Callithrix jacchus: one gene and its partners. The protein of the gene in region 5 interacts with the protein of the main gene of each other region in a pairwise test. Links are inferred from orthologs where the notes say so. Each region holds a gene or a part of one and is shown on either strand. Other genes may lie near its edges. The genes, in order: ENTREP1, HSPB1, ARRDC3, LITAF and BAG3.

Region 1 (5,881 bases), on a different chromosome or scaffold from region 5:
TTTGAAGGTCATTAAAAAGTTATTCCGCCAAAGATGGGAAATTAAACTTTATCAACAGTCTACTAATTACATTTGTCTTTAAGGTCTGTCTTGTCTCCTGATTCAGAATAAAAGTTCAACATTCATAGAAGTTGACTGTGTTACATAGGATAAGTGGTTTTGATATCAGTGAAAATCAAAATGGATCTAAAAACTCCAATGTGCGAAGCTGCAGTCCTTGCCTCCTCCTGCCTGGGAAAAGGTATGGCATTACAAAACCTCACCTCTAAGGTCCAGTCCTGGAAGGCCCAGCAGATGGCCCAAAATATATCACAACAATCTCAGCACCTGAACTTTTAACCTGTCTGAAGCACAAAGATCTAGCAAACAGTTGTAATGATAACATCTAGTGAACCGTACAAGTGCTTGTTCTTTTTCCCCGAGCTATTTCCCAGGGAGCAAAACTTTGCAGAAGGTCCAGGCCCACTGCCTGGTGAATGCTCCAGCTCTTACTTTATCAGAGCTTGGCAGCCTTCCAGAAGTGGCTCCTGTTTTGGGGCTGTTGGGGCCAGACAGAGGGAAGGTGACAGAGAATGATAACTGGAGTAGCTAAGGGACACCAGGATGTAAAATGTTTCCCCTACCCAGACTAGTAACTGGAGCCTGATCCGGAACCATCAACTGATCAGACTTTTTAGGGTCTGTGGTTGATGTACCTCTTCATGCAAGTAATCAGATCATTCCTCCCCACTGGATCCCCTGAGGGACTGGGAGAGAATTTGGCTTCTGGCTTCTGTTAAGAAGAGGCCAGCAGGTAGAAAGAGGGAACAGAGGGAAAGTGAGAAGGGTATTTACTCAATCTGAGTTAAAATTTTACCTATGATCCTGAAGTTGGTAATTACCCTAAGAAATTAGCCCACTTCAATTGAAGAAGCATTTTGGGGGCATTTAATGCACAAAGACACAGAACCACATAACATCCAAATGCCATTGTGGGATGCTGTCTACAACCTCCACCCCACTACCTGTAGCAATGAAGCAAACATCCAAAAGGGAATGGCTTTTAAAAGAGTTGGAGAGAAGGCTGTTACCAGAAGGAAACTCCATTCATTCAGAAATAAAGGTACAGAGACTACCTAGTCCAACCCTTTACTTTAAAGAGGAGAAACCTGAGACTCAACTGGATTATGTTCATACCCAATTCTATCTTTTCCCCAAGTGGCTTCAGTTTTGGGGATTGCCTTGTACTTTTTAATCTATAGGAAGAAAAGGTGTTTACTCCTTTAGGACCTGTTTGCTTATATATCTTGCCAAACATTTCATGGTAATGTGAACAGCTCTTAGAATCTTGTCAATATTAAAATTCACCTATGTCATCATTTTCAAAGGGCTGAGAAAACATGCCCCATCAAAGGAAACCTTCAATTCAGGAAACCAAATGTTGCATGCACTCCACACTGTCCATAGCCTTTGTTCTTATTCCTAGAACACATTCTTTTCTTTTTCCAGACATCCTTTCACATCCCAGAAAAACTGGGTTTTCTTCCCTTGAGCCAAGGATGATGTAGGAAAGTCACCACACTTGAAAGGAAAGCTCCCTGGCTTCCTCTCTCTCCCTCCCCTGACCTCCCAACCACATTTACCTGAAGACTGTTACCATGAACTTACTCTGCCTCAGACAGGAAATCGGAGAAGCCACTTGAGCTGCTATGAAAATGAGTTATCTGATTCATGCCTGAGATTAATAATAAAACTACCTGTTCTAGGAAACTGGCACTTGTGATGGCTTCCTCCATGTGCTCCTCATCAGACTTCAAAACAGATTTAATGTTTTCTACAAGTTCATGGATGTCTGGGGTCATGCTACAGGAGGACTGCTCCAGGAACCTCGCCACCAGCAGCTTGGTGTCCATGTAGGATCTGTAATCTATCAAAGACTGCGGTCTGCATCGCGAAGCTCTCAATCTCAGGCCTCTCCTCAAAGTCACCGCAGCCAGATCCAGTCTCCTTTCAGTCTGTGTCGCAGCTTCACAGCTGAGCACTGGGGCAGCTGTTGGCAGAAACAAACAACATGTACCCATTGGCCAACCCCTTTTGAACACATGCCTGTACCTGAAAGCACAGACCACAAAACTCAACATGGAAGCATCTGACAAATGCTGATAGCCATGCACACCCTGCTTTTTATCTTGCAGAAGTGGGGAAAACAACTATGATACAAAGTTATTCCCTGAATCCAGTTCCAACTGGATATGGTCCAAAACATGTAATGGTGTCATGTACAACACCACCCCCAAGGTAAAGCCAGATGGTAGAGAGGAGAGTCCAGAATGCAAACCACAATGAAGTAAGTTTCATGGGGTATGACAAATAGATGGGGATGGATGGGCCAAGCAGGAAAAACGTGGCTGACCAATGAAAGGACATTCCAAGGAGTGAGGATGAAGCAGTCACTTAAGAGAGAAAGGGGCTGAAGAGAGACAAGACTTGTCAGATGAATGTAATGCTCTGGTCACTTTGACTATACCTTTGTCCCAAATGTCCTCAAGGACATTGTACTGACTTGCGTTATTGATGCTCACACCATGGATATGAGGTAGATCTACAGCTATTACAAAAAGAGAAACTTAGGTGCAGAAAAAGTACACATCATTTGGAAGTCAACAGAGGGCCTGGGAAATCCATCACAGGCTCTAATCTCCATGGCTACCTACATTAGCAAGGTTGTAAAGACCAGCAGAAGGCTTCTGCACTGTGAAGTGGGTGAAGCAAAACTCAGATCTGGTCATTATGCGTCCAGAAGCCAGCCAGCAGCCTTCAGTGTACACAACACTTGCATGTTCAGTCTACGAAGGCCTGATAAGCAGAAATTTAGAAATTCAAAGAAGACAAGAAGCAGGTGAGAGCAGGTGGAAGAAGGGGAGCACTCCTTTTCCTCTGGAGAAAGGCAGGTGTGGGGAGCTCTAAACCAGGATTCAAGACTGTCCTCTCAGGCAGCCATGTGCATGTCACAGAGAGCAAGAGTCTTTCAGAAGCACTCGCCAAAGACACTCGTGTGTGAGGACAGAGTCAGGGTCTCCACTCTTCCACTAGAAGGCAACCTTGTGCCTTCCACAATGGAGGGCTCCAGCAGCTGCTGTCCTTGTCCCTGCAGGTCTGCAGAATGAGAAAGGGTTCCAGAGAGATTTCCCTAAGCGGTGCAAATGGCTAAGTTTCCATTGAGGCTGGAGTCCTTAACTTGCCAATGTTGGGTATAGAAGACCCACAGTGAAGGCAGGTCTTGGGAATCAGAAGCCAGGCTGCCCGGCCACTAACTTTCAGAGACTCAGTACCAGGCGGCCGGACTTCCCACTCAGAAGCCACTGTAGAGACAGGAGTGTTCTCTCTGGCTCGCACATGGTCAGTCCAGAGCTGTGGCAAGTAACACACTGTCAGAGGGGCAGAACAGAGACTGCAAGGGCTCAAGGCAGGACCCTAGAGAGAGCAGGGTGGAGGATTATCAGAGTTTTATTTGCATAGAGTTTTAGAAGAGCAGAGGTCAGCTCTGCTAGACTACTTCACAAGAAGCCAGTGCTGGTGGAGTTACAGGAGGTTTTAATTTTCTTCCTTTAGTTTCTTTACTTTTTATAATTTTCTACAATGAAGAGATATTTGGAGATGTTCAGGTATTCATATATTCAGAAAAAATCATCAGTGTTGTTACTTTAATTTTTTTAAATGTTTAGTTATTCAGGTAACGTCTATACACAAACTGAACAGAGAGAGAGAGAGAGAGAAAGGTGAAGTGTGTGGGCATATGTATTTCATTCTATCAAAGTTCTAAAAACAAGGTCAGATTTCAAGAATTCAATCTACTCATACATAGTAAAAATATAACAAATTATAGAAGAGGGAGTATACAAAAATCCTTTTGACATTTTTTTAAGAGAATGCATATTCCCATAGGATTGCAGCATCTAGAAATCATAACTAGGTGTGCATAATTTTCTTCATGTAGCACCTAGCACAGTATCATGTACAACCAAATTCTTTTGATGACAATGACTTAAAAAAAAAAAAAAAACCCTACCATCCTTAAAAGACATGACAGTTGTATATTCCTAGCATACATGTAGAATATTTTACTTTCCCAAGGCCTCATAAGCTCTTTCGAATAACCACTTCAACTGTTGGGTCTTGAGCTGGCCAGAGCCACCTGCCTTCACCTGGCTCCTTTAGACAAATAAGCACAGAGTCCTACGAAGAGCTTGGGGAATGACATCACCTCTCTCCTCGGAATGATGGAGCATGGGGTCACTCTTCGACCTCGTCCTCAGGGGTGGGAGGGCTCTGTGGCTTCTCACAGGACACACCAGGGTTGAACTGGGAGTTGGCATGGATGCGTTTTCTTCTGCAGGTATGTTAGGAATGTCCCCACCTGATTTTTTTTTTAAAGAGGCAAAATATAAATTATTTCACCAGCTGTGGTCCTCGAAATGGACAGGAAACACCTGTGAGCCTAAACCTGCCAGGGCAAGGGTAATGTAGTTAATAACATTTACTCAGGCTGCTGGCCCAGTAAGTTTTTATATCACTGAACTATGGGAAAACTTGCCTTTCCAAACCACCCCTCCATGCCTAAAACAAACAAACAGAAAATTTAAATCCAAGAGCAAAATAAAGGAGCCATGCCAAAATGTCAGGGTTTTTTTTCCTAAAGGTGCTTAGAATCTTCTCCAGGGAAGCATCCTGGGGCAGTACTGAAAAGCTCCCTGACAGCTCAGGATAAACCTGGTTCTCGGGAAGCTAATACCTGGACAGGTGAGGTGGCTGCCCTGTGGGCTGAAGAACCCCCAGATGGCTAAGATAGAGAGTCAAGTCGCCACTAAAAAATCTGTAAAACCCCACTGGAATTGGATAATATATGCTCATGAAAATAAAATCACACCATTTGTGAGCCTGAGTTGTAATTCGGGAAACTGTTTTAAAAAATGGAAAGATTGACTAGGTGCGGTGGTTCATGCCTGTAATCCCAGCATTTTGGGAGGCTGAGGGTGGGTCACCTGAGGTCAAGAGTTCCAGACCAGCCTGGCCAATATGCTGAAACCCAGACTCTACTAAAAATACAAAAATTAGCTGGGCATGGTGGCACACGCCTGTAATCCCAGTTACTCGGGAGGCTGAGGCAGGAGAATCACTTGAACCTGGGAGGTGGAGGTTGCAGTGAGCTGAGATCTCACCATTGCACTCCAGCCTGGGCAAAAGGAGCAAAGCTCTGTCTCAAAAATAAATAAATAAAAATAAGATAAAATAATTAAAAATGGAAAAATTATGAACTTAGGAGACAGAACACTGCTTCATAATTCTACTTAGGATGGAAGGTGAACAGAGCACAGAGTATTACATTACAAATAGTACTGCTGAAAAATTACCTCCATCTAAAATTGCTAAGAGTTGATCCATTATTTATACCGTTTGCAATTTTGTCCTAGTGGACAATTCTCTGGGCCACTTAAAGCCTCCCCAAAGAGAGAAGGCCATAACAGTATTCCCTTAAATAACAGTGATAAATGTAAACTGGCTCTAGTACTTACTATAGTCCTGAAAAATCAGAATTCACTAGCTGCTCAGACAGCATGACCTGGGCCCTAGGTTATAAATGATATAGCACAATCTCATCTCAAACCACTCTGCAACAGAGAAAATCTTTTTCTCCTGCCAAAAGTCTAGCTAATTTTTAGGAGGAAGAAAATCATATGTCAGGAAACACAGGAATACCAAATCAAACTCTGTAATCTATTTCATGGTTCCTGAGAGCAGTTTGGCTCATAAAAAATTCTAAGGATATCTTTTTTCAGTTCACATATTTTCTCTGATTTATAAGCCCTAATAGTTGACGGTATTTTTGTGCCTGGAGAAAAAG
Region 2 (5,763 bases), on a different chromosome or scaffold from region 5:
CATCTTGGTTAAAGTACAAGGATGTAGAATGTACTACGTGCCTGTAATCATGGCGTGTCTCACAGCTACACAGGATAGGGCTTCACAAAGAGTTACTAGCACGCGTATGATTTATTCTTAAACAAGAAGGAAATTTAAAGAGGAACTTTTCTACTTCCCACAGCTGAGAAAAGAACATGGGAGTGTCTTGCTACAGCCTCAGACTCTGGGTCCCTCAAAAAATTGAGGACATCAAAACCAAACTCCAAAGCCCCCATCTGCTTTTGTTTGTTTGAGACAGAGTTTCTGCTCTTGTCCCCCAGGCTGGAGGGCAATGGTGCGATCTGGGCTCACTGCAACCTCCGCCTCCCAGGTTCAATTGATTCTCCTGCCTCAGCCTCCCGAGTAGCTGGGATTACAGGCGTGCACCACCTCGCTTGGCTAATTTTTGTATTTTTAGTAGAGACAGGGTTTCAGCATGTTGGCCAGGCTGCTCTCGAACTCCTGACCTCAGGTGATCCACCTGCCTTGGCCTCCCCAAGTGCTGGGATTACAGGCATGAGCCACTACGCCTGGCACCCCCATCTGCTATGTACCTCCACAGCTTTCCCTGGGCCTGGTTAGAGGGTGGCAGCTAGGGCAAGGGCAGACAACAGAGGAACTGGGCCCATGGAGGCCTGGCTACACCGGGAGGGAGGCCAACTGAAAATAAACACAGGCAACAAGAATCGCTGGCAGAGCCAGCAGCACAGGTCTGAGCGCGTCGGCCAGGGTGCTACCCAATCTCCCCACCCAGAGACTGCGGGCTCCGTTCTCACCCCAGTTCTGCCTGCCAGTTCCCTTGTGACTGCCAACAGGGATGCCCTGGCCTCAGGGGGTGTGGCAGTGACGACCTCAAAGCTTACCAGGTCCACTGTGGTGCCCTTGGGTGCGCCGAAGCCGAAGCCAAGCTTCTGACGCAGTAATCTCTGCGGGGAGGTGCAATTACCCCCGTGCCCCTTCACCTGGGCCCCAGCCTCGCCGACCGTGAAAACTCAAGCCTCAGGTGCTTCCCATTTCCTCCGCTTCCACACCTTACAGTTTTAATTGCAACCATGACCTTGCAATCACGACCTTTTTTTTTTTTCTTTTAAAGACAAGGTCTCACTCTTTCTGAGTTTTTAGTTATTTATTGAGACGATCTTGCTCTGTTGCCCAGGCTGGAATGCAAAGGCACAATCTTAGCTCACTGCACGCTTCAACTCCTGGGCTCAAGCAATCTTCCAGCCTCAGTCTCCTGAGTAGCTGGGACTACAGGTGTGCAATAACACCCCTGGCTAATTTTTATTTCTGTTATTTTATTATTTTTTTTTTTTGAGACAGTCTTGCTCTGTCACCCAGGCTGGAGTGCAGTGGCACAATCTCGGCTCACCACAACCTCTGCCTCCCAGGTTCAAGTGATTCTCCTGTCTTAGCCTCCTGAGTAGCTGACATTACAGGCATATGCTACTACGCCTGGCTAATTTTTGTATTTTTGGTAGAGATGGGGTTTCAGCATGTTGGTCAGGCTGGTCTCGAACTCCTGACCTCATGACCTGCTCCCCTCAGCCTCCCAAAGTGCTGGGATTACAGGCATGAGCCACTGCAACTGGCTTTTTATTTTTAAGAGATAGGGTCTCACTGTGTTGTCCAGGCTGGTCTTGAACTCTCAGCTTCAAGCAATCCTCCTGCCTCAACTTACCAAAGTGCTGGTATTGCAGGTCTGAGCCACAATGCCGGGCAATAGGACCTCTCTGTCTTTATGGATGTGAATTAGCCTGTGCCTAGCAACCTACACGGGAGTACCCACATGGCCCAGCACGGGGCTGTGCACCCAGCACACCCTGAGCAAAGGTGGCTAGTGTAAGCCAGGGAATGGCAGGTGCCCGAAGCTTCCTTCCACAAACACCAGGGTCTGAGCCAGTGACAGGTGGGTTGCTTCAAACTTTATTTGAGAAAAACAAATAAACGTATCAAAAGAACACACAGGTGGGGGGGGAGGCATGGCCAGTGGCGGCGGCACGGGTGGGCATCCGGGCTAAGGCTTTTACTTGGCTGCAGACTGGTCAGATTTCGCAGCTTCTGGGCCCCCAAGCTGGGCCCGCGACTCGAAGGTGACAGGGATGGTGATCTCGTTGGACTGTGTGGCTGGCTTGGGCATGGGGGCCTCAACGGTCAGTGTGCCCTCAGGGGACAGGGAGGAGGAGACCTGGGTGGGGTCCACACCAGGGGGCAGCCTGGACGTGCAGAGAGGGAATGTGAACGTTACATTACACTTCGGGTGGGTCCCTGTGCCCTCCTCCCTAGCCCCCGGCACCCACCCACCCCGACCTGGCGGCAGGACTCACGAGTATTTCCGGGTGAAGCAGCGGGAGATGAATCCGTGCTCATCCTGCCGCTCCTCGTGCTTGCCTTCGGGGGACAGGAAAATCAGAATGAGGGAAAGGGGACCGACTCTCGGCCCCGCCAGGCCAGAGGCCCCACCTCCAGCTTGGAGGCAGCCAGGACTGCAGGCTGGCAGGGATTAACAGAGGAGACTGGGGGTGGGGGCGTGCCGGCCTGTCCGGGCTCTCAGAAACTTCCGGAAAGTTCGAGTAAGAGTTTTGGGAGGAACGGAGCAGGGTGCCGAGGGGCGGAGGGAGCAACGCGCAGGCGCACTGGGAGGAGCACGCACGCCCCTCGCGCGGCTAGGGACAGGGACCACGCCAGGGGACCCGCTTATCTGCGGATGGGGCTGCGGGTGGGGAGAGAGTTCCGTGGAAAGAAGCATTTCTTCACCGATGATCTTTTAAAACATTTTTGGTTGCTTTTTAATTTTCTTGTAGTTGGTAGGGGGGGAGGTCTCGCTATATTGCCCAGGCTAGTCTTGAACTCCTGGCCTCCGCCTCCCAAGGCGCTGAGATAACAGAGCAGAAAGCGACCTTAGAAGCGACCTGCACTCCCGATTCCTGAGCAGGGGAATCACGGACGGATCCCGTTTTTCCCGGTGCTGGGCTAACTTTTAACTCCCCAGGCCCGGGGTTTCAACCGCACCCCCGGGCCCCGCCCTCCCCGCTAGCCTCCTCCCCTCCCCTGCAGGGCCAGGGGGTGCTCACCGGTGATCTCCACCACGCCATCCTTGGTCTTGACCGTCAGCTCCTCGGGGGCGAAGTGGTTGACGTCCAGGGACACGCGCCAGCGGTCCGCCGTGTGCCGGATCTCCGAGACCCCGCTGCTGAGCTGCCGGCTGAGCGCGCGGCTGTAGGCGGGCGCGGCCACTGCGGGGCCCTCGACCGCGGCGGGGGGCAGGGGGCGCACGTAGCCCGGCCAGCTGCTGGTGCCGAACCACTGCGACCACTCCTCGGGCAGCCGGGGCATCCCGAATGCCTGGTCGAAGAGACGGTTGTGCGGGTACCAGTCGCGGAAGGGGTCCCAGCTGGGGCTCCGCAGGAGCGAGAAGGGGACGCGGCGCTCGGTCATGCTGGCTGGCTCTGCCCGGGACGTCTGCTCGGAGAAGTGCGGGCCGCGGTGCTGGGTCGCGCTTTTATGTGCCTCCGGTTGGGTATTTTTAGCAGGCGGTGTTTGAGGTCTCTATTAATGGAAATGACCCGTTTGGGACCGCCTCTCCCCATGCACCCCTCCCCCCCATCCGCAGAGTTCAGGGGGCCGTGGGCGGGGCGAAGAGGGTTCTGCCCCAATCTGGAACCTTCTCTCGTTAAGGAAAACAAATGAGTTCGAGAGTGCGACGCTGGAGACGTGCCACACTAGGGCACTCGGAGGCCCTGGTGCTTCAGCGCTGGCGGGTGTGGCCGGCGGCCAGGCCAGTCCTTTTGTTAAGCAGGACAGCGCCAGACAGGTTGGGCTGGGGCAAACAGCTGGGAAGTGGCAGAGGCAGGGTTGGAACCACAAGGCTGTGTGTGGAATGTGATGTAAAGCAGTCTGGTGCTTGAGTCCAGGAGTTCGAGGCTGTAGTGAGCTATGTTCTCACCGCCGCACTCCAGCCTAGGCAACAGAGCAAGGCCCTGTCTCAAAAAAATAAAAAGGGGCTGGGTGCATGGCTCATGCCTGTAATCGGCACTTTGGGAGGCCAAGGCAGGAAGGATGGATCCCTTGAGGCCGGGAGTTTGAGACCATTCTGGGCAACATGGTGAGACCTCACCTCTACCAAAAAATGTTTAAAAATTAGCTGGATGGCTGGGCGTGGTGGCTCACGCCTATAATCCCAGCACTTTGGGAGGCCGAGGCGGGTGGATCACGAGGTCAAGAGATCGAGACCATCCTGGTCAACAAGGTGAAACCCCGTCCCTACTAAAAATACAAATATTAGCTGGGCATGGTGGTGCGTGCCTGTAGTCCCAGCTACTCGGGAGGCTGAGGCAGGAGAATTGCTTGAACCCAGGAGGCGGAGGTTGCAGTGAGCCGAGATCGTGCCATTGCACTCCAGTCTGGGTAACAAGAGCGAAACTCCATCTCAAAAAAAAAAAAAAAAAAAAAAGGAATCTGACAATCTGTGTGGTTGCAAGGTGTGTGGGCTTTGGGAGGTTAAGGTGGGAGGATTACTTGAAGCAAGGAATTTGTGACCAGCCTGGGCAACACAGTGAGACCCCATTTCTACTAAAATTCAAAACAAATTAGCTGGGGATGGTGGCGTGCATCTGTAGTTCCAGCTACTCAGAAGGCTGAGGTGGGAGGATCATTTGAGCCCAGGAGGCTGCAGTGAGCCTGATTGTGCCACTGCACTCCAGTCTGCATAACAGAACAAGACCCTGTTTCTTTTCCTTTTTTTTTTTCTTAAGAGGGGGTTTCACCATGTTGATCAGGCTGGTCTTGATCTCCCGACCTCAGGTGATCCGCCCGCCTTGGCCTCCAAAGTGCTTGGATTACAGGCATGAGCCACCACACCTGGCCCACCCTGTTTCAAAAAACAAAACAAAAAATTATATTACTGTGGTTTTGTTGATTTATATTTTTTAAATTTGAGATGGAGTTTTGCTCTTTTGCATACCCAGTCTGGAATGCATAAGCAGGATCTCAGCTCACCGCAACCTCTGCCTCAAGGGTTCAAATGATTCTCCTGCCTCAGCCTCCTGAGTAGCTGGGATTACAGGCATGAGCCACCATGCCTGGCTAATTTTGTGTTTTTAGTAGAGATGGGTTTTCTCCATGTTGGTCAAATTGGTCTCGAACTTCTGACCTGAGGTGATCCACCTGCCTCAGCCTCCCAAAGTCCTGGGATTACAGGCATGAGCCACTACGCCCTACCACTGTGTTCTTACTGTACGTCTTCTATGTTTATTTGTAATTTTTTTGAGATGGAGTCTCCCTCTGTCACCCAGGCTGGAGTGCAGTGGCCCAATCTCGGCTCACTGCAACCTCTGCCTCCTGGGTTCAAGCGATTCTCCTGCCTCAGCCTCCCGAGTAGCTCAGACTACAGACATGTGCCACGACACCACCTAATTTTTGTACTTTTAGTAAAGACAGGGTTTCACCATGTTGGCCAGGCTGGTCTGGAACCCCTAACCTCAAGTAATCCACCTGCCTTGGCCTCCCAAAGTGGTGGGCTGACAGGTGTGAGCCACCGCGCGGCTGTCTTCTGTGTTTAGAAACGCTGCTACTTACCATCATGTTGCAGCCACCTCTAATATGTGGTGCAGTCATGTGCTGTAGAGGTTTGTAACCTAGGAGGGGGAGGCTAAACCGGACGGCTTAGGACCTAAGTGCACTCCGAGGTGTTCCCACAACGATGAAATTGCCAAACAAGGCATTTCTGAATGTGGCTCCGTTGTT
Region 3 (6,571 bases), on a different chromosome or scaffold from region 5:
TAAAATAGTATATTTACTCAACAAAAGGCTCAGGTCTCACATCATATTAAGATAAATGTTATCTTTGTCTCCAGCTATTCGCTTCAGTTGATCACATTAAGACTATAATGTTTAAAATAAAAACTGTTCATGCAAACCTTTTAAAATATGTCAGTTTAGGGGGAATACCAAAAATATGAATAGAATAGATAGTCCAAAACCACTGGAAAACTGTCAAATAGATGAAGGAAAAAAAAAAGCACACACATTGATTTTAATGTGTTTTATAGCTAAAAATAAATATTTATTGTCCTAAAATGATCACAACACTCAGTTGGTCCTAGCAACAACTAAAACTTGCATAAGCTATACCCTTAGATAATTAAAACAACAGCATTTAGGTGGTACCTGCTTATGAGGAAACAATATTGTCCCTCATCCTTGAAGAAATGAAGTCCAATTACTAAGAGTTTCCAGTTGCCATAAAAAAGGGATGAGGTCAAATTATCTTTTGAAGTAGCATGAAAATAAAGAAATATAATCGAAAATATGGGAGGGGGTTCTAGATCATTAAAATGCTTATTTAGCGTTCTGACTAGATATATAATTACACAAATATTTTTAAAAGTATCCTCGGTGTAGAAACCTTTGCGATTAGCCCTCAGAGTAGGGAAAAACCGGCACATTATTTAACTTTCCTTCAGAAAAGTACTGAATACACCCAAAAAACGTGATGCTTCCCTGATATTAAACGAGAAAAGGAGGAAAAAGGCATGTATACGTCGATACTTTTATTGAAAAATCATGGTGATTCGCTTATGTCTCCATACGATTTTCCTCACCCCCTGTGCAAATCCCCTGACTGGATTTCAGAATCAAAAACTAGCTGGTGAACTGGGGGCCATTTAAATTCGCTCCTGTCCAAGGCGCCCAAAGTTTGCCTTCTTCTCCCTTTCTTCCCTCCTCGCTCCCTTTTTTGTGCCAGCTCAGCAGTCTCATTGAGGCTAGCGGCTGCGGCGGCGGCGGCCGCGCCGTGGTAAACAAGTGCCCGGCTGTCAATCAAGAACTAGACCGGAGCAGGAGAGGACCGGCCTAAACCGGCGCGAGCAGATCCCAGCCGGCCCGCCCGCGCGCCGCCGCCGCTCGCGCGCCCCGCTATACATACGGCATACGTCGCGCGGAGCTCGCGCCCGTGCCCGCGCAGCCTAACATGCTGGACGGGGAGGAGGGGCGACAGAGTCGCTGCGCTTCCGCTTTACACGCCCCAGCCGGCGACCGGTTCGATCTGGCTCGGGCCACTCTGACACCTTTACAGTTGCAGCGAGGGAAACTGGGGCGGCGGAGGGGAGGCGGGGGCCGGTAGGCTACGGGAAACAATGGGGGAGGGGGCAGGGGACACCCGTCGAGGCCCCCACCCAGATTTCGATATTGGAATCACTTTCTCCCCCGGGCCAACCTTTGCTCTCTCCCCTCAAGTCGAATCAAGGTAGCCAGTCTGGCGACTAGAGAAGTCGGGCAACACTCTTTGTTTCAGCTAAGGGGAAAACAAGCGTTCACAGGAGTCCCCCAGTATGCCCCTCCCGGAAGATAGCTAAGGGGGTCCTGCCAACCCTTCGCGTCAAACTCCCATCTAAAAAGGATTTTCTGCTAAAGTTGCGTCCAGAGCCATCTGGCACCTGTAAGGCTAGAAGGTACGTCTGCCGTCTACTCAGTTAAATCCTGAAGTCGTTTCCTTTCGATGGCCCTTATCAGGCCCAAAAGAGGGGCGACAGAACGTGATGTGACAAGGGCCGGGCGCCTCCAGAAGCCCGGGAACAAACGTAAGTACGGGAGTACGGGTTGCTCTGGAGAGACCTTTACCGGCGCACGCCGGTTTCCTAGCCTCGCCCCAGCGGCGGCGCGAGCCCACTCTCCCCACCCGCCCGCGCCCAATCCAATCAGCGCCTGCCATCGCCTTAGCAACAGGCTAACAAACCTGGCTTTGCCTATCCCGGGCGCCCGGGGCGGGGTCTCAGTTACCAGGCTAGTTTGAGAGCTCCCAGTTTCAAGTCTCATTGAAACTATTCCAGACCGATCTAGTCTACGCGTAGCAGGGTTTGGGGGGCATTTTGTAGGGGGTGGCAGGGCACTTAGTTTTCTTTGCCATGAAATCATAGTGTGACTAATAAAATTATATTTGTCCCCACAACTCGTTCTACTTTCCCCCCATTGCAAGTCTCAACTCCTTGAAGAAAAACCTGTTTCTTTTCACCCATTTCATAAATAGCTGCATATTCAGAAAGGTACAAACACTAAGTCATGTATCTGGTTTTCAACAAATACCAAGACTGTCATTAGGCATTTGCATCTCCTATCAGTGTTAACGCTTGGAGAGATTAATTATTTCTGGATACAAAGTAACTGTGTCTACGAAAACCCTACCCTACTAAAGAACTGAGTTCACCTTAATAGTTTCAAAAATAAGGCATTAATAGTGTCACTCAAAGCATCCTTCATTTCTCACTTGCCGTAGTTCAGTCATCAGCACTTCTCCAGGATGTACATTTTTAATATAAAAAAGAAGGTGAAATGTGCCTGTTTTTTTTTTTTTTCTGAAAAATCGCCAACATCTGAACTAAATACTGTATTAAAAAGGAGAGGCACAAAAATTACATAACCAGTTTTAACATTATATTCTTCTTGGGCTAGGAATTAAGTCATCGCCACCACCTGACGCGTGTAACCAATCTGCTGAGAGCAGAACAAGCGCCCCTCCTCACCACCCCCCAGAACTGGTCCGAAACAGGATTGAACCGCTTCTAACAAAGGGTGGAAACTTAGAAAAACAAGCCTAGAGTCTCCTATATTTCCACAATGTAACCATTTAAACAATAGATTGGAAATCTCAGGACCTCTACTCCCTTTGACAACCCTGTATCTCCCTCTTCTAACCAAAAATCAAATCCACTATGCCCTATAGTTTTCAATTCCATTTGACTGGCATGGGTTTCATTGAATGCATGTTCCAAAGTTAGACATGATGCTCGGAAAAGAGAATTACCGATCCTAAATGACTTCTAAAACTGACTCAATACCTATAATAATGACAGATAATACCCTTAAAAATAAGGAATGCTTGGTGTAAATTTTTAAAAGAACGGAAAAGAATAAAAAAACACGTGGGGTGTTGATACCATATGTCAAAATAAGCCACAGAAACCGTTTGTGAAAGAAAGGTGATCAATTCTTTAAAGTCTTTGCGTTCCAATATTAAAAATGAAACATCCAATTAAGCCTCTTAAATATGTTATTACATTTCTTGATCGAAGTTCAGTTTTTAAGTCTTAGGTTGCAAAAATCTAAAACTGCAGCTTTTAGCAATTCATTTGAGAATACATTAGTAAAACGATTGAATTGGATTCAAGCAGAATGTATAAGGTGCAAATGGACTACAAGTGCGTGTGGCACAAACCGAGCCGGGTATAGAGGTAGTTGAATAAGTGCAGTTTGCAGTCACTTTGCAGATGCCTGCATGCATTACGGCTTAACACACGATGAACGTCAAGGAGAATCCAAACCTTGCAACTTTGCTAACCTTTATCAAACTGCTTAGCTATGCTCGGAGTAAAATCGCGTTAATTCAGAAAACTGAAAAGGTACGTTTCCAAAGAAAATGAGTCCAATGACTTCTCAATAATAGAAAAACTTACCTCTTTCGTGCCCAATTAAGATGTCTTTATGGTTGAAATACTCTACTTCTTCAGTGTAATTCTGTGTATAGGCAGTATTGGAGCCGGCGTTTCTAGATTCAGTCCAGCGTACTTTCGCATGTCCTCTTGCATGAATTTTAAGAGATTTTACTCTGATTTCCCCAGTAACTTCTAAATTTACCCTTCCTGAGACGGTATCCCCACTAGAATACACAGGGACATTGCTGTCATTAAGACAGTCAAAGCTTATTGTCAAACTCTTCACCTTTCCCAGCACCATGTTTATAACAAAATCTATAAAAATATAATGTAAGACAAAAAAGTCAAGATCACATATAAAATGTGATCTTCACTTAACACTGATCGATATTTTTGCCGTGCAAAATGGTTGCAGGCCGGATCAGTGATTATCTACAAATAGTTCATTGAGATTTCTTAAAAAGTCAGGGCAGCAGACGCTGCTGCTCCACGCTCCTGCTCGTCTCAGCGGTCTCCTTACAAAGACGGGCGGCTAAAGGCTGCCAGCTCACTTTAAGAGCAGCTTTGTGAAAAACAACCCCAGTGCGCAGGCGCAAGTTGCGGCTGCTGTCCGCCCTCCCTGCGCGCTCCCTCCCGCGCCGCGCCGCGCTCGCTCTCTTGCTCGCTCCCTTGTTCGCTCGCTCCCGGGTACAGTAGGTGTAGAGCTAGGGGAAGAAGATACTGGAGCTGCCGGCAGGCTGAACCTGACTTCTCTTCATTGTGGGCTCCTATTGGTAGGCAGGCTACCGTAAACCCTCGACGTGCTATCTGGAGCCCCTTACCGAGCACACTCTACTAGAAAGATAATGGCAGAACGGGGCGCGAGGGGACAAGGGCTGGGTGGGGAGTTGTTTGCAAAGCCAAGTAAGGATAAACTGCAGTGACCAGCCCGAAGCGTGCGTTACCGGCACTGCAGGGTTTTGCCAACTAGCTGGATGGGAGGAGGAAGAAGTGATGTGTGAAGAGAGATGGGGGAAGGGAGAAACCGGTTGGGCAAGCGGCCGATTGTTGAGCACAATCTTAACGAATTTTAAAAGAAAACGTATTAAAACAGGACAAGAAGTATTGTTCATAGTATTCTTGGCTTGGATTTTTTTTTTTTTTTTTTAACAGTACTTGGGAGGTAGAGTGGAAATGAACTCAGTCGAGGTCAAAGGAACCTTAAAGAATCCTTTGAATAGTAAGGTAGAGAAGCAAATATAATGTAATCAGTAGGCTGAACTTCTTTCTCCTCCATCGTTTAATTAGATACCACCGAAAAACAACCAAGTTGTTTCCAGGATGACACGGGTGAGGGCTAGGGGAAAGCTTGCCCACTTCCTCGAAGGAAGAAAAAGTCCCTATTAAGATACCACCTCCGACTAGATTTGCAGAGTAAGACATGATTACAACTCCTGCGTCCTGAGGAATAAGAATAGAGTTCAGCCTAAAAAAGTACCACCTTATAAAAGGCATATGACATTGTGGTTTAGCTGACACACTGTTTGCAACAGAATCGGAAAATCTTTGTTAGAAATTAGTGAAGCACGTAAAATAGTTTTTTAAAAAGCGTGATATGGTATATACGTAGGGATTGACTGTGTGAAGCTTTTTGAGCGGAGAGCCTTGGACCATTTAACGTAGTAATTCTCATGATACATCTTAAATTTAGGTACATTTCTCTTTTTATTGTGAATGGTAAAAAATAGCAGTGCTTTCGTAACATCATCCTGGGATTCAGAGCACAACAGCATAAACTCCTTTAGATTATTGGCAATCAACAGAACCGCCTTACAAGAGAAATGTAGAGAGAAAAAGTATGAATTTGGTGCTATATCGATATATATATATCTCTATATGACCAAAAATACCTTGGAAGGTTTTTGGCTGTCCGTATCTAAACATTTTAGATTCTTTTGAGTGTGTATTTGGATAGGTTGAGCCTATGAGTCACAATAAGCTAAACTTACTGGTCTTGCTGTTTTCTTTATTTCAGAATAAAGTAAATTTGGGGGAATTGGATTTTAGTTGACAAGGCAATAGCTTGGACTCAACAGCAATATATAGAGTATAATTATGCAAACTATTTAAACACTTATCGAGCAAGCCATTTATTTCAGAGTTTAGATCTCTTTGCTTAAAATTATGAATTTATATATTTAAGTGGTAAAAATAATAGTGTCTTTTCTCCCCTCTTGGTTGACACCTGGTGGAAATCTAGGTAAAGTACTTGGGACCTTGTACTAGTTTTGATAACAGATACTACTTGTGTTTTTTCTCCACCTGGTGGTAAAAGTGGTAAATTTCTTAGATGACAGCTTTTCCTCAGCATAAGGTCAATGATACTTATTAAGCATTCAAAAACGGCTGAGCAAGGAATGGACTTAAAAGTGTAATACACAATGAATACATAAATTCGTTACACATTTGTGTTAAAAATTATTAAGAGTTAGTGAACAACAGCTGAATTCAGATTTTTTTAGTAAAATTTATCTACTTAGAATATAACTTATTTGAGAAAAAAAAGAATAATTAGCTGTTTAAATATACTAGAATTGCATTTAATAAGAAAGAACCCCAAGAAATTTATTTGTAGTTTGGAAAATTGTTTTAAAATATTATGTGTTTCCTGTCACTGCATGGTACATTATTCTTTGTGTTTGAAGCTTTCAGGATCTTTTGAATAGTTGCCTTTATTATTTATTTTGCTATTTTTCTTTATTTTCTTTATTAGTGTTTCTTCCTAAGTACTTAGGTAACTGAAAAATTGCCAAGAAATTCTTACTAGCTGCCATTTTTATTTTATTTTTATTTTTGAGATGGAGTCACTCTCTGTCCCTCAGGCTGGAGTGCAGTGGCACAATCTTGGCTCACTACAGCCTCTGCCTCCTGGCTTTAAGCAATTC
Region 4 (4,915 bases), about 96 Mb from region 5:
AGTTTGAGATCTGCCTGGCCAGCATGGTGAAACCCTCTCTACTAAATATACAAAAATTAGCCAGGCGTGAAGATGTGCCCCTGTGGTCCAAGCTACTCAGGAGGCTGAGGCAGGAGAATCACTTGAGCCCCGGAGGCGGAGGTTGCAGTGAGCCAATTGTGCCACTGCACTCCAGCCTGGGCACAGAGTGAGACTCCATCACAAAAGAAAAGGGAAGGGGAGGGGAGGGGAGGGGAGGGGAGGGGGGACATTGGGAAGCCATCTTTTTAAAACTTTGGAGAGCAGTTGCACAAACTGGTTACATGCACTAGACTCTATTCTTGGTGGTGAGCTATTTATTTATTTCATTTTAATCTAAGCTCCAGAATCTTATTTAAAATTCTTAGATTTAAAAAATAAAAAAAGCCAGGTGTGATGGTTCCTGCCTGTAGTAATCCCAGCACTTTGGGAGGCCGAGATGGGCAGATCAGCTGAGGTCAGGAGTTCAAGACCAGCCTGGTTAACATGGCAAAACCCTCTCTACTAAATATACAAAAATTAGCTGGGCACAGTGACAGGTGCCTCTAATCCCAGCTACTTAGGAGACTGAGGCAGGAGTATCATTTGAACCCAGGAGGAGGAGGTTGCAGTGAGCTGAGATCATGCCATTGCACTGTTGTCTGGGCGACACAGCAAGACTCTCTCTCAAAAAAAAAAAAAAATCAAAACTACTCTTGATGTCCCTTTCATGGCCCTTGCTAGATCTACTTCCAATTCAATCACGTGCCTGCAAAAAACAGGCAACTCATTGTAAATGTCTGAGTCATACAGGGAGGGGAGGACCGAGGGACCAAAAGGCAAATCCGAATTCTGCAAGCAAAATTCCAACGTCTAGATTTACTCCTACCAGGAATCTTCAGTCCAGAAGGTCAAAGAAAGATTTTAGCATCCCAAATACAACAGGCTCTCACTAGGGAGAAAACTGAGGCCAAATGGTGTGAGCACATGAAGCCATGTTTATACATATTTCAGTATCCAACAGAGGTGGTCTCGTTAGCAACTGGGAGGCTAGTTGTCCCAGAGAAAACATTTTCATGGGTAACGCTGCGGTCAGCAAGGATCAGTCATGTGCTTACGTCTGGCTTCAATAGATGCGGTAGCTGAATAGTTTTGTTAGGACACAAACCAACACTTCTTAGAATGCCCCCTTGCCTAGACAGACACAGTGGAATATAAGATATGCAGCCACTTTTGGTATCAGATTGGTAAAATTCCTCTCTGCGGTCCAATAAAGCCCTTTCATTCACTAAACGTGAACCAGTGTTTGTGACACCCTCAGGTCCCCATCAGAAAGTGGCAAAACAAAAAAGCCTTTTAATTTGCAAAAATACGTAAATCCATACTTTAAACAATAAAATGCAATGTCCAGCGCTTCGTACTCCAGGCATCTGACGTGGAAGTTCCGTGTAATACATGTTTTTACGATCCTGAAATAGGGCTCTCGTTTTGAAGACTCTGCATGTGTAATTAATAACAGCTTGAGATCATGTATACGCCACCATCTGAGCCAAACTGCTAAATATGCATGGCCTCGAAAGCACACAATCAAGATCTGGAAAGCCGCAATTTTTCAAGACTGGAATTTAGGGTTTAAATGATAATGTGAGCCCCACCAAGATGACAGTATTTCCCTGCACCTACCGAAATGAAGCCGTCTCATCAGGTAGCAAAGGAGGGGGAAGGCGGCATCCATATTCCTGACACATTACAATACCCTCTTTTTAGCATCTCACAAAGCATGTTTTGTTCAGAGAATGAATGAGGACAGCTCTCTTCTGTGCATTTTATTAAAACTTGAAAGCTATGGCTTGCCGCCATCAATGACGCCTATTGGGTTCCAACAGCCGCATGCTCAAATCTGACTCGTTAGCAAATCCGCCCAACTCAACATCGGTCATCTTGAGATAGCAGGATATTCAGCAAGTCTGAAGTTTTTCATCGGGAAGAATTTTTCAACGTTACCGAGCAAATAAAGGCTCTTTGTAGCAACAGCTGGAAATGCAACCTGAGAGCCCTTTCTACACATCCAAAGAAATCATCAGTAGTTCACTGAGTGAACCAAAGACTTTATTTTTCAAAAGCAGGTAACACCAAAGTGGTATCCATATTCATTGCAAAATGATCATGACTGCAATTTTCCAAACACATAAAATAAGGGGGATCAATGGTTACCACGATCATGTTCAACCAATTATACAGATGTTCGTTGAAGATCTAGGTTTTATTTCTACATGGTAGTATTCACGTGAGTTCCTTATGCTTAATTATTATCAAATTGGAGCTTTTTCTTGACTTTAAAGACAACACAGCAGCTGGCTTGCTGCTTGGGTCCTGGAAATCAGGTCTTCGGATGTTTTACAACAAACCGTGTCTCTGAAAACTAAAATCAGACTTTAGATTCCTCTGAAAGAGTTCTGGTTCCTTCTGACACCAGGGTACCCGGACGTGCTTATCTTTCAAAACCCATCGCCAGGGACCCAAAAGGGATCCCACTTTCAGAGTTCCATGAAGGTGTTTAAAAACCAGATTATCCCCAAGTAAAGGCAGAGGATGAAATTATCCATGTCTTTTTATGTATTTTTTTTTTAAGTGAGACTACATGGACAAATGGGAAAATGACACCAATCGGACGATTACAGAAAATGTTAATAAATCCTCCTCTTAAAATTATATTCAGGCCAAGCACAGTAGCTCACGCCTGCAATCCCAGCACTTTGAAGGCCAAGGCAAGAGGATTGCTTAAGCCCAGGAGTTTGAGAACAGCCTGGGCAACAGAGTAAGACCCCATCTCTGTTTAAACAAAAAAAAAAAAAAAAAGAAATTCTGTTCAAAAGTATTTCAGACCAAAAGGAGGTAATAAAAACTGTTCATATAATTATGAGAAAAAATCCCTGCATGGAAGGGGTGCTGAAGGTCTGACACATAAACCGGGGGCGGGCGGGGGGGTCGGAGCAGTGATATAAATCCAGCCCTATTTTTTTAGCATGCGTTTATGACCTCGTGGATATATCTGTGCTGGGTGTTAATAACCCCTCTTCCTCGTACTTAAAAAAAATTAAGAAATTAAAGTGAATCTGTGTGCTAATGAAGTCTGCAGTTACAGAGTCTAAAAGCCAAGCCTGTAAAGTCTATAAGGCAAGATCTCTGTCATCAGGGATGGGAAGAGATGAGTAAGATAATGGTAGGCACTAAAGGCTGCCTCAGCCAAGCTCCAGGCAGAACAGCCTCCAGAATAAGGCAACTGTGGCTTCTCAGTGTGAGACCACTGCCAGAAAGGCCCACGGAGGCAGGAAAAAGAGCCACTGATGGCAGATCACAGGAAGAGACTCAGACAGGGCAATGATCACAGTTAGATGGGAGGACTCAGGGTCACAGGGAGGCAGAACTGATACTTGGACCGACACGCAAGGGGAATGTCTTTGCAAGTCCTACGCACAACTCCAAGCAGCAATTTCTGGGGTTTGGAGGTTGGTTAGTTTTGCGACATTTTCCCCCCCAAAGGAAGACATGAAGGTGGGCCCCCTGGAGAGGTGAGACCACTAGGGCAGAACCTCCACCAGGCGTGAAGCTGGATGAGTGGTGGAAAGGACTCCCTGCGGCACCCGGCTCCCTCCACTTCTGGCTGAGTCCTACAAACGCTTGTAGGTGCCCAGGAGAACTCTGCAGTTGGGACAGTAATGGTCCACGTCCTGCAGGGCGTCCACACAGAAGGGGATAAAGCAGCAGCCCGCTATGCACCTGGGAGAAGAGAGAGAGACACAGGGAGCACGTTACTGACTATAGCAGGATGGATGCTGGCTTCCAAAAACACAGGTTCATGTCCTTCTTTGTAAAAAGGGTCTTTGCCAGCGTAATTAAGGATTTTGAGATGGGATCATCTTGGATTACCCAGGTGGACCCCCAAAACTTAATGACCTTAGAAGAAAAGGAGAGGACACGGCAGGGGGTGGGGCGCAGAAGGGGATGTAAAAAAAGAGGCAGAGATTGGAGTGATAAGGCCACAAGCCAAGGAACACCTGGACATATCAGAAGCTGGAAGAGGCAAAAAAACAGTTCTCCCCTGGAGCCTTAAGGGGAGGGTGGTCTTGCTGACATTTTGGTTTTGGGGTGTTTTGTTTTTTTTTTGAGACGGAGTCTGGCTCTGTCACCCAGACTAGAGTACAGTGACACAACCTAGGCTCACCACAATCTCTGCCTCCCAGGTTCAATCGATTCTCCTGCCTCAGCCTCCTGAGTAGCTGGGATTGTGGGTGCACGCCACCAAGCCTGGCTAATTTCTGTATTTTTAGTAGAGACAAGGTTTTACCAGGTTGGCCAGGCTAGTCTTAAACTCCTAACCTCAAGTGATCTACCAGCCTTGGCCTCCCAAAGTGCTGGGATTATAGGCGTGAGCCGCTGCACCCAGACCCTGCTGACATTTTGATTTTACACCTCTGGCCTCCAAAATTATGAGAGTCAATGGCTGCTGTTTTAAACACTAGGTGTGAGGTCATTTCTGATAGCGGCCCTAGGAAATTAACATGCCAGCCACTGCCAAGGCTCCTCCCACAGACAGAGCCCCTCTGGGCATTATTTAAATCTTGGGTCATTTAGGAATCTTTCAAAGTCTTAGATGGGCTTGGTGAACTTTTTCTGCAAAGGGACAGACAGCATATCTTTTAGTCTTTTTATTGCTGGGTTTTGTTTGTTTTTGCAGAGATAAGGTCTCGATAGGTTGCGCAGGCTGGTCTTGAACGGCTGGCCTCAAGTGATCCTTCCACCTCTGCCTCCCTAAGTGTGGGATTACAGGTGGAAACCACCACACGCCCCGACTTGATGTTGCCACTACTCAGCTCTGCCCTTGTAAAGAGAAGGCAGCCACAGAGAATCCAAAAAC
Region 5 (6,527 bases):
ATCTCAAGTGATCTCCTGCTTGACCTCCCAAAGCGCTGGGATTACAGGCGTGTGCCACCACCCTCAGCCCCTGCATACTTTTGACTCTCCCAAAACTACCAATAGCCTACTGTTGACCAAAAGCCTTGCCAATAATATGAACAGTCAATTAACACATGTTGTGTGTTACATGTATGATATACTGTGTTCTTGCAATAAAGTAAGCTAGAGAAAAAAAATTAAGAAAATCATAAGGAAGAGATTTACATTTATTGCTCATTAATTGGAAGTTGATCATGATAATTGTCATCATTCTCATCATCTTCACGTGGAGGCTGAGGAGGGGAAGGAAAAGGAGGAGACAGTGAGAATCCACTGTCTCAGGGGTGGCAGAGGCAGAAGAGGTAAAAGAGGTGGAAGGGGAGACAGGAGAAGCAAGCATACTCAGTGCAAATTTTATTGAAAAAAATCCAGGCCAGGTGCGGTGGCTTATGCCTATAATCCTAGCACTTTGGGAGGCCAACAGGGGTGGATCACCTGAGGTCAGGAATTCTAAACTAGCCAAGCCAACATGGTGAAACCCCATCACTGCTAAAAATACAAAAATTGGCCCAGTGTGGTGGTGGGCGCCTGTAATCCCAGCTACTCCGGAGGCTGAGGCAGGAGAATCACTTGAACCCAGGAGGCGGAGGTTGCAGTGAGCCCAGACTGCACTACTGCATTCCAGCCTGGGTGACAAGAGCGAAACTCTGTCTCAAAAAAAAAGAAAATCCATGTACAAGTGGACTTGCTCAGTTCAAACCCATGTTAAGGGTCAATTGTACAGTAATCTGAAGTATGTAACCTGATGTTAACCAATCATTTCTCTCTCTCTCTCTCCCTCTCTCTCTCTCTTTTTAAGAGACAGGGTCCTGCTCTGTCGCTTAGGCTGGCATCAGGAGCACAATCATAGCCCATGGCAGCTTCAAACTCCTGGTCTCAAGTGAGCCTCCCACCTCAGCCTCCTGAGTAGCTGAGACTACAGGCATAAGCCACTGCACCTGCCTTATTTTTTTATTTTGTAGAGGTGTAGGTCTCACTGTGTTGTCCAGGCTGGTCAAACCCCTGGACTCAAGAGGTCCTCCAGTCTTGGCCTTCCAAAGTACTGGGATTACAGGCATGAGCCACAGTGCCAAGCCCTCATCCGTTATTTTTCTGTGATTCTCTCTGTCCCCTCCTTACGAGGAAAGTAATTTTAAAACAACCAATTCAGCCTTGGTTCTTTGTTTCTGTTTTCTTCAGCCCTTCTCTGTCTATAAAACCAACCTCTTCTGCTCGGCTTTTAGGAACACTTATTCTAATTTAATGGAGGTGTTGCCCAATTCTAGAATCACAAAATCAGTTAAGATCTTTAAACTAACAATAAAAGTTAACAAATAAAAACAAACAAAAAGATCTTTAAATTAAAAATGTTGTCATTTTCTCCTTTGGCAGGTTACAAGTGCAACCTCCATTCAATGAACCAAGCGAAAAAATGTCACGGTTAGGTTAGGTCTTTACTTCCCAAATGAGGGTCAAGATGTAGGATAGCAAGAACCAACCTCTACTATAAAAAAGATCCAAACCCAAGAGAATGTGATTTTTCTGTAAAGCTGTTTACTACAACGAAACTTTCTTTTTAGTCTGGGAGACTAAAAACCATCAGCTGACACAATCTTTTTTTCCTTGAAGTTTCCAAAGAAAGGCAAGTGAGTTTGCACTGACTTCCATTTTCTCCCTGCCTTCCTGCTAGTGTCAGATGAGCGTCCCCGCGCTCCTCCCAGGCAGCCCTCAGTGTCCCGGGCTGTCATATATGGGGGAGGGGATGGGGTGGGTGAGATGGCTTTGTTTGTACAGAAAGGAGGGGCGGCAGGCACGGGGAGGACCGGCTCCGGCCCAGGGAAAACTCACTAGGCGCTAAGGAGAGGGAGGGAGGGAGTGTGAAAGCCGAAACCCGCCCAGGGCGCACGGAGGACGACCCCAACTCAGTGCGTCCGGCGTCCCATCCGCAGTCAGGCCCCGAAGGCGCGCCCGCGGCCACTCCGGCCGGGGCACGCGCACTAGGAGGCTCGGGGAGGGGCGGAGGGAGGCGGGGGAGGGCGGGGAGGTCGGGGACGAACGAGAGGGCCGAGGCCCCGCCCCCGCCCGCCGCGATTATAGCCGATGACTCAGGGCGGAGCTCCGCATCCAACCCCGGGCCGCGGCCAACTTCTCTGGACGGGACTAGAAGTTTCTAGCCGGCCAGTTGCTACCTCCCTTTATCTCCTCCTTCTCCTCTAGCAGCGAGGAGGCTATTTCCAGACACTTCCACCCCTCTCAGGCCACGTCACCCCCGCCTTTAATTCATAAAGGTGCCCGGCGCCGGCTTCCCGGACACGTCGGCGGCGGAGAGGGGCCCGCGGCGGCGGCCAGGCCAGAGACTCGGCGCCCGGAGCCCGCGTTCCGCACCCGCGCCCCGGCGGCCCCCGCTCCGGGCCGACCCCAACCCCTACCCAGCATGAGCGCCGCCACCCACTCGCCCATGATGCAGGTGGCGTCCGGCAACGGTGACCGCGACCCCCTGCCCCCCGGCTGGGAGATCAAGATCGACCCGCAGACCGGCTGGCCCTTCTTCGTGGACCACAACAGCCGCACCACGACGTGGAACGACCCGCGCGTGCCCCCCGAGGGCCCCAAGGTGAGCCGGGCCCGCGGCCCGCCCTGGTCGATGGCGCCACCTCGACGGCGGGCGGCGGGAAGGGGGCCGGGCGGGTGGGACGCGAGAAGCGGGGCCCGGGGGTCGGCGAAGGCCCCTCTCAGGCGGACACCGGCTCCGCGCCCAGCCACACATTCCCGCGGCTCCCGGACGAGTCCCTGCTCCCGACCCGCCCTTGACAGGCGTCCGGGCCAAAGGAGGCCCCGGGATCCGGTGGCCCGGGAACCGTCCCCGCAGTGGCCCCTGTGCCGTCCGCGGCTCGACTCCAGGACGGAGGGCCGGGTGTCCGGCGCTGGCCTAGCCCTCCCGAGCTTGGAGGAGGGCAGCCGGCTTGGTCGGCTCCGGAGGCCGCAGTCCCTGCTGCCCGCTTGGCCTCCGGGCCCGGGACCCGCGGCGCACCCCGCTGTCCACGAACGCGAGGGAGACACAAGCTTGGATGGTGGTTTTGGGGGATTTTTACCTCTCAAGTTCCCTAACTTGGTTGAGGGATGTCTTCACTACTGTCCCATCTGAGGCACCCAATGACTCAGGAAGCTGGTGTCAAAACATTTATGCCTGTGTGTGTGTGTGTGTGTCAAATTAAAATTGTATTATTGTTTGAAAGTGCTTTGGATCTGTATGTATCCTATTATCACTTGTAAAATTAAAAACGGGGTGCATTTCTCCCCAGCAGTTTCTAAACTAGACGGGAGACTGTCTTACAGTTGGCCATTGCATTACCACATTGCCTCACCCTGGAGAGAAAGAGAACGATAATGTGTATGTTTATAATGGCATTCGCTTCCTGCCTTGTTATGGTATTAAAATACTTAGGATTTGTTACCAGTACACAAATAACTGAGTAATGATACTCTTGTGAATATAGCAGAAGTATGTCTCATTTACATATATGCAAGGATATATACTTTTTAATCCCCAAGAGCATGAAATTTGAAAACATAAGTTTGGAATGAGTCTGTTAATTTTCAAAAATCATACTTATACTATTCTTTCCATTTTCTGTAAATTTGAGCTTTCAAAATAAAAAGGTTTTAAAAATAATTATGTTATACTTAAAACGTAATTGTGACTGCTGTCTGGGCAAGATAGAAGCAGCAAAAGAGGTGATAAATTATTTTGAAGATTTAAAAACTCAGCAAATTAAAAATGCTTTGTATCTCATGATTTTAGAAGAAAGACCCATATTATTTCCCTTCATTTTTATACACGTTCTGTTTTAACAATATTGACAAAACTCTGGTTCCCAACAGTGAGATGGTGTACAGTCAGCAGTTTACATTTACGAGAGATTAATTGTATATTTATTCTTGAAAATTAATATAAGAGGCTGTAATTAGCTGGGATGGGCACAGTTAAATATACCTTTTTGGGTGTCCAACCCATTTTTGGGTGAAACTGACGCTCATTTCAAACCCCCTTTCTTAGCAGTCTGCGTGGATGTACATGATCTTTAGTGTGGTTTACAACTATTATTTTGAGGGCTTCTTCCTGTAGACATAGGGACAGTAGCATTTGCTGGCAGCCTTTGTTATGAGTGAAGATTAAGTTTGAATGTAAACATTGTCAGTACTTTGTTCTCAGCATGAAACTTACCCAGCAAGTTGAGATCTTCCTGTACCCACCTGGTGCCTGGGTTAGGCTGTGGTTTCCTAAACCTTAAAAGGAAAAAAGCAGGTTTAGTTACCATTATTCTTCTCAACAAATAGAAAGTAAGAACTACTAAATCAGAAGTCTGATGCTGGAAAGGTTTATTTGAAAATTTCACAGTGAAAATGTTAAAGTTGAAAGGTCCTTGAAGATCTTTTAGGTAGGCTTCTTTATTTTCTGAAAAAACCTGGAGAGTTCAGGTGTGATTTTTGAAGGTCACCCAGCTAGTACCGATAGCAGGGAGAGTACTGATGTCAGGAGAGTCCTCATAAGAGGCAGTGTGTCTGTTCAGAAGGTGGAAGTGAATGTTTTGTGAAACCGTGAAGCATGCAGGCTAAAATACTTGATTACCTTTGTGCCCTCCTGGCCACCAAGTTATTGGGTCACTGACCTCTGTGCTGTGATTGCTTGGATTTTGATGATGGGACATGATCAACTCAAGAAGAGAATTCTCGGGCTGGAGGCAGTGGCTCACGCCTATAATCCCAGCACTTTGGGAGGCCGAGGCGGGTGGATCACGAGGTCAAGAGATCAAGACCATCCTGGTCAACATGGTGAAACCCCGTCTCTACTAAAAATACAAAAATTAGCTGGGCATGGTGGCGTGTGCCTGTAGTCCCAGCTACTCGGGAGGCTGAGGCAGGAGAATTGCTTGAGCCCAGAAGGGGGAGGTTGCGGTGAGCCGGGATTGCGCCATTGCACTCCAGCCTGAGTAACCACAGCGAAACTCCGTCTCAAAAAAAAAAAAGAAGAGAGTTCTCTTTACCAAATCAATGACTTGAGACTTGTGAGCATGGCACCAAAACTTAAGGAGAAAATTAACATTCAGCCCATGAGCTGTTTGTGCTTCATTGCTTTTGATCCTGTGCTTTGACACACGCAATATATGGTGACTAATTCAGTTGTACTTGTGTGAATTACACCTTACTCAAGACTAAATGTAGTAAAAAATCCTTCAGTATCATTTTGTATTTGAAATTGGTTTTTCAATGCATAATGAGAAAAGGGCCCTTGCAGAAAAACAAAGGGTAATTTTGGAGGAGTTGAGCTGAGGCTCAGATCTGGGCATTACCATCTTCAAGAGGAAATGCTGTCAGTCAGCAAAAAGCTGTTCATTGAGCGTGAGGAGCTCAAGAGAAACCTCTCTTTTGGGGGATGACTCAGCTTCAGGATGTTTAACACTTTTGTTTTATTTTGTTTAACATTTTTGTTTTGTTGAGACAGTTTCACTCTTGTCCCCCAGGCTGGAGTACAATGGTGCGATCTCCATCTCGGCTCACCTCAACCTCCCCCTCCTGGGTTCAAACAATTCTCCTGCCTCAGGCTCCCAAGTAGCTGGGATTACAGGCACGCGCCACCACACCGGGCTAATTTTGTATTTTTAGTAGAGATGGGGTTTCTCTATGTTGGTCAGGCTGGTCTTGAACTCTCGACAGGTGATCTGCCTGCCTCGACCTCCCAAAGTGCTGGAATTACAGGCATGAGCCACTGCAGTCACCCTAGGGTGTTTAATATTTAACTGCATTAGTTAAAAAAAAAAGGAAAAGACTAGACCTTTGTATTTTATTTAGTCTTCTCCTGACATCTTGCAGTTGATCCTCCGCCTTCCCTGAAGTGGTTAGGGCAACTCCCTGTTTTTGCAGAAGGGCAGAGCGAAAGCAAGTGTCTTCTGTTGTTGCTGAAGCCGGCCAGCAGCCCACAAAGATGTTGGGCTTCATCCAGCCCCATTCTAAGCAGCCGGACCTCCACACCTGCAGTCTTCATGGATTTTGATTTTCTGTACACTTGGGCTTCCCACTAATTTGGCAAGTTCATACCAGTCCAGGACCCTTCCTAGCAGAGGTTGGCATTCAATAGTGGTTGTAGCCACTCCTCCAGGCTCTCCTCCCTGAATAAACAGAGGCCGGACACTCTGGAGTGCTGTTCCTCGACAGGCATCCCTGGGATGAGAGGGAGACCTCCCTCCCTCATGGAGCAGGGCTGTTCTAGCTCTGTGGATCCTGGGGTTTATCAGCCTGGCAGTCTTCAGGGTGTCCTGTTAAGCTGTGTCTCACCACTTCCCTGCCCAAACCCCATGTTCAAATCTGAATTGCTCAGTGTAGAGCCCAGAAATCTATTAAGTTCAGAAAGCTAATTTGGTGGTTCTGATTGTGCCACACTGCAGTGGGAGCCATGGATGGCCAGTGAT

Evidence for each region.
Region 1: the proteins of BAG3 (region 5) and ENTREP1 interact in a two-hybrid assay, tested with the Homo sapiens proteins (2 studies listed by BioGRID and IntAct). The link is inferred for Callithrix jacchus from reciprocal best matches to the Homo sapiens genes BAG3 and ENTREP1.
Region 2: the proteins of BAG3 (region 5) and HSPB1 interact in binary tests that used the Homo sapiens proteins (3 or more experiments, as listed by UniProt). The link is inferred for Callithrix jacchus from reciprocal best matches to the Homo sapiens genes BAG3 and HSPB1.
Region 3: the proteins of BAG3 (region 5) and ARRDC3 interact in binary tests that used the Homo sapiens proteins (3 or more experiments, as listed by UniProt). The two-hybrid records come from large-scale screens. The link is inferred for Callithrix jacchus from reciprocal best matches to the Homo sapiens genes BAG3 and ARRDC3.
Region 4: the proteins of BAG3 (region 5) and LITAF interact in binary tests that used the Homo sapiens proteins (3 or more experiments, as listed by UniProt). The two-hybrid records come from large-scale screens. The link is inferred for Callithrix jacchus from reciprocal best matches to the Homo sapiens genes BAG3 and LITAF.

What each region holds. Positions count from the first base shown.
Region 1 is NC_133502.1:95,517,743-95,523,623, forward strand, and holds part of ENTREP1 (endosomal transmembrane epsin interactor 1), read right to left. Parts: intron 4,397-5,881; coding exon 4,244-4,396; intron 2,030-4,243; coding exon 1,737-2,029; intron 1-1,736. UniProt on the Homo sapiens protein: Functions as an activator of the E3 ubiquitin protein ligase ITCH in the ubiquitination of the CXCL12-activated CXCR4 receptor. Thereby, triggers CXCR4 endocytosis and desensitization, negatively regulating the CXCL12/CXCR4 signaling pathway.
Region 2 is NC_133503.1:11,063,325-11,069,087, reverse strand, and holds HSPB1 (heat shock protein beta-1), read right to left. Parts: upstream 3,497-5,763; 5' UTR 3,457-3,496; coding exon 3,093-3,456; exon of another isoform or gene 2,652-3,092; intron 2,410-2,651; coding exon 2,346-2,409; intron 2,235-2,345; coding exon 2,045-2,234; 3' UTR 1,925-2,044; downstream 1-1,924. UniProt on the Homo sapiens protein: Small heat shock protein which functions as a molecular chaperone probably maintaining denatured proteins in a folding-competent state. Plays a role in stress resistance and actin organization.
Region 3 is NC_133503.1:119,360,809-119,367,379, reverse strand, and holds the start of ARRDC3 (arrestin domain-containing protein 3), read right to left. Parts: upstream 4,174-6,571; 5' UTR 3,949-4,173; coding exon 3,669-3,948; intron 1,826-3,668; exon of another isoform or gene 1,291-1,825; intron 1,282-1,290; exon of another isoform or gene 388-1,281; intron 1-387. UniProt on the Homo sapiens protein: Adapter protein that plays a role in regulating cell-surface expression of adrenergic receptors and probably also other G protein-coupled receptors.
Region 4 is NC_133513.1:17,576,502-17,581,416, reverse strand, and holds the end of LITAF (lipopolysaccharide-induced tumor necrosis factor-alpha factor), read right to left. Parts: intron 3,778-4,915; coding exon 3,669-3,777; 3' UTR 2,085-3,668; downstream 1-2,084.
Region 5 is NC_133513.1:113,170,624-113,177,150, reverse strand, and holds the start of BAG3 (BAG family molecular chaperone regulator 3), read left to right. Parts: upstream 1-2,180; 5' UTR 2,181-2,494; coding exon 2,495-2,674; intron 2,675-2,746; exon of another isoform or gene 2,747-6,527. UniProt on the Homo sapiens protein: Co-chaperone and adapter protein that connects different classes of molecular chaperones including heat shock proteins 70 (HSP70s), e.g. HSPA1A/HSP70 or HSPA8/HSC70, and small heat shock proteins (sHSPs), e.g. HSPB8.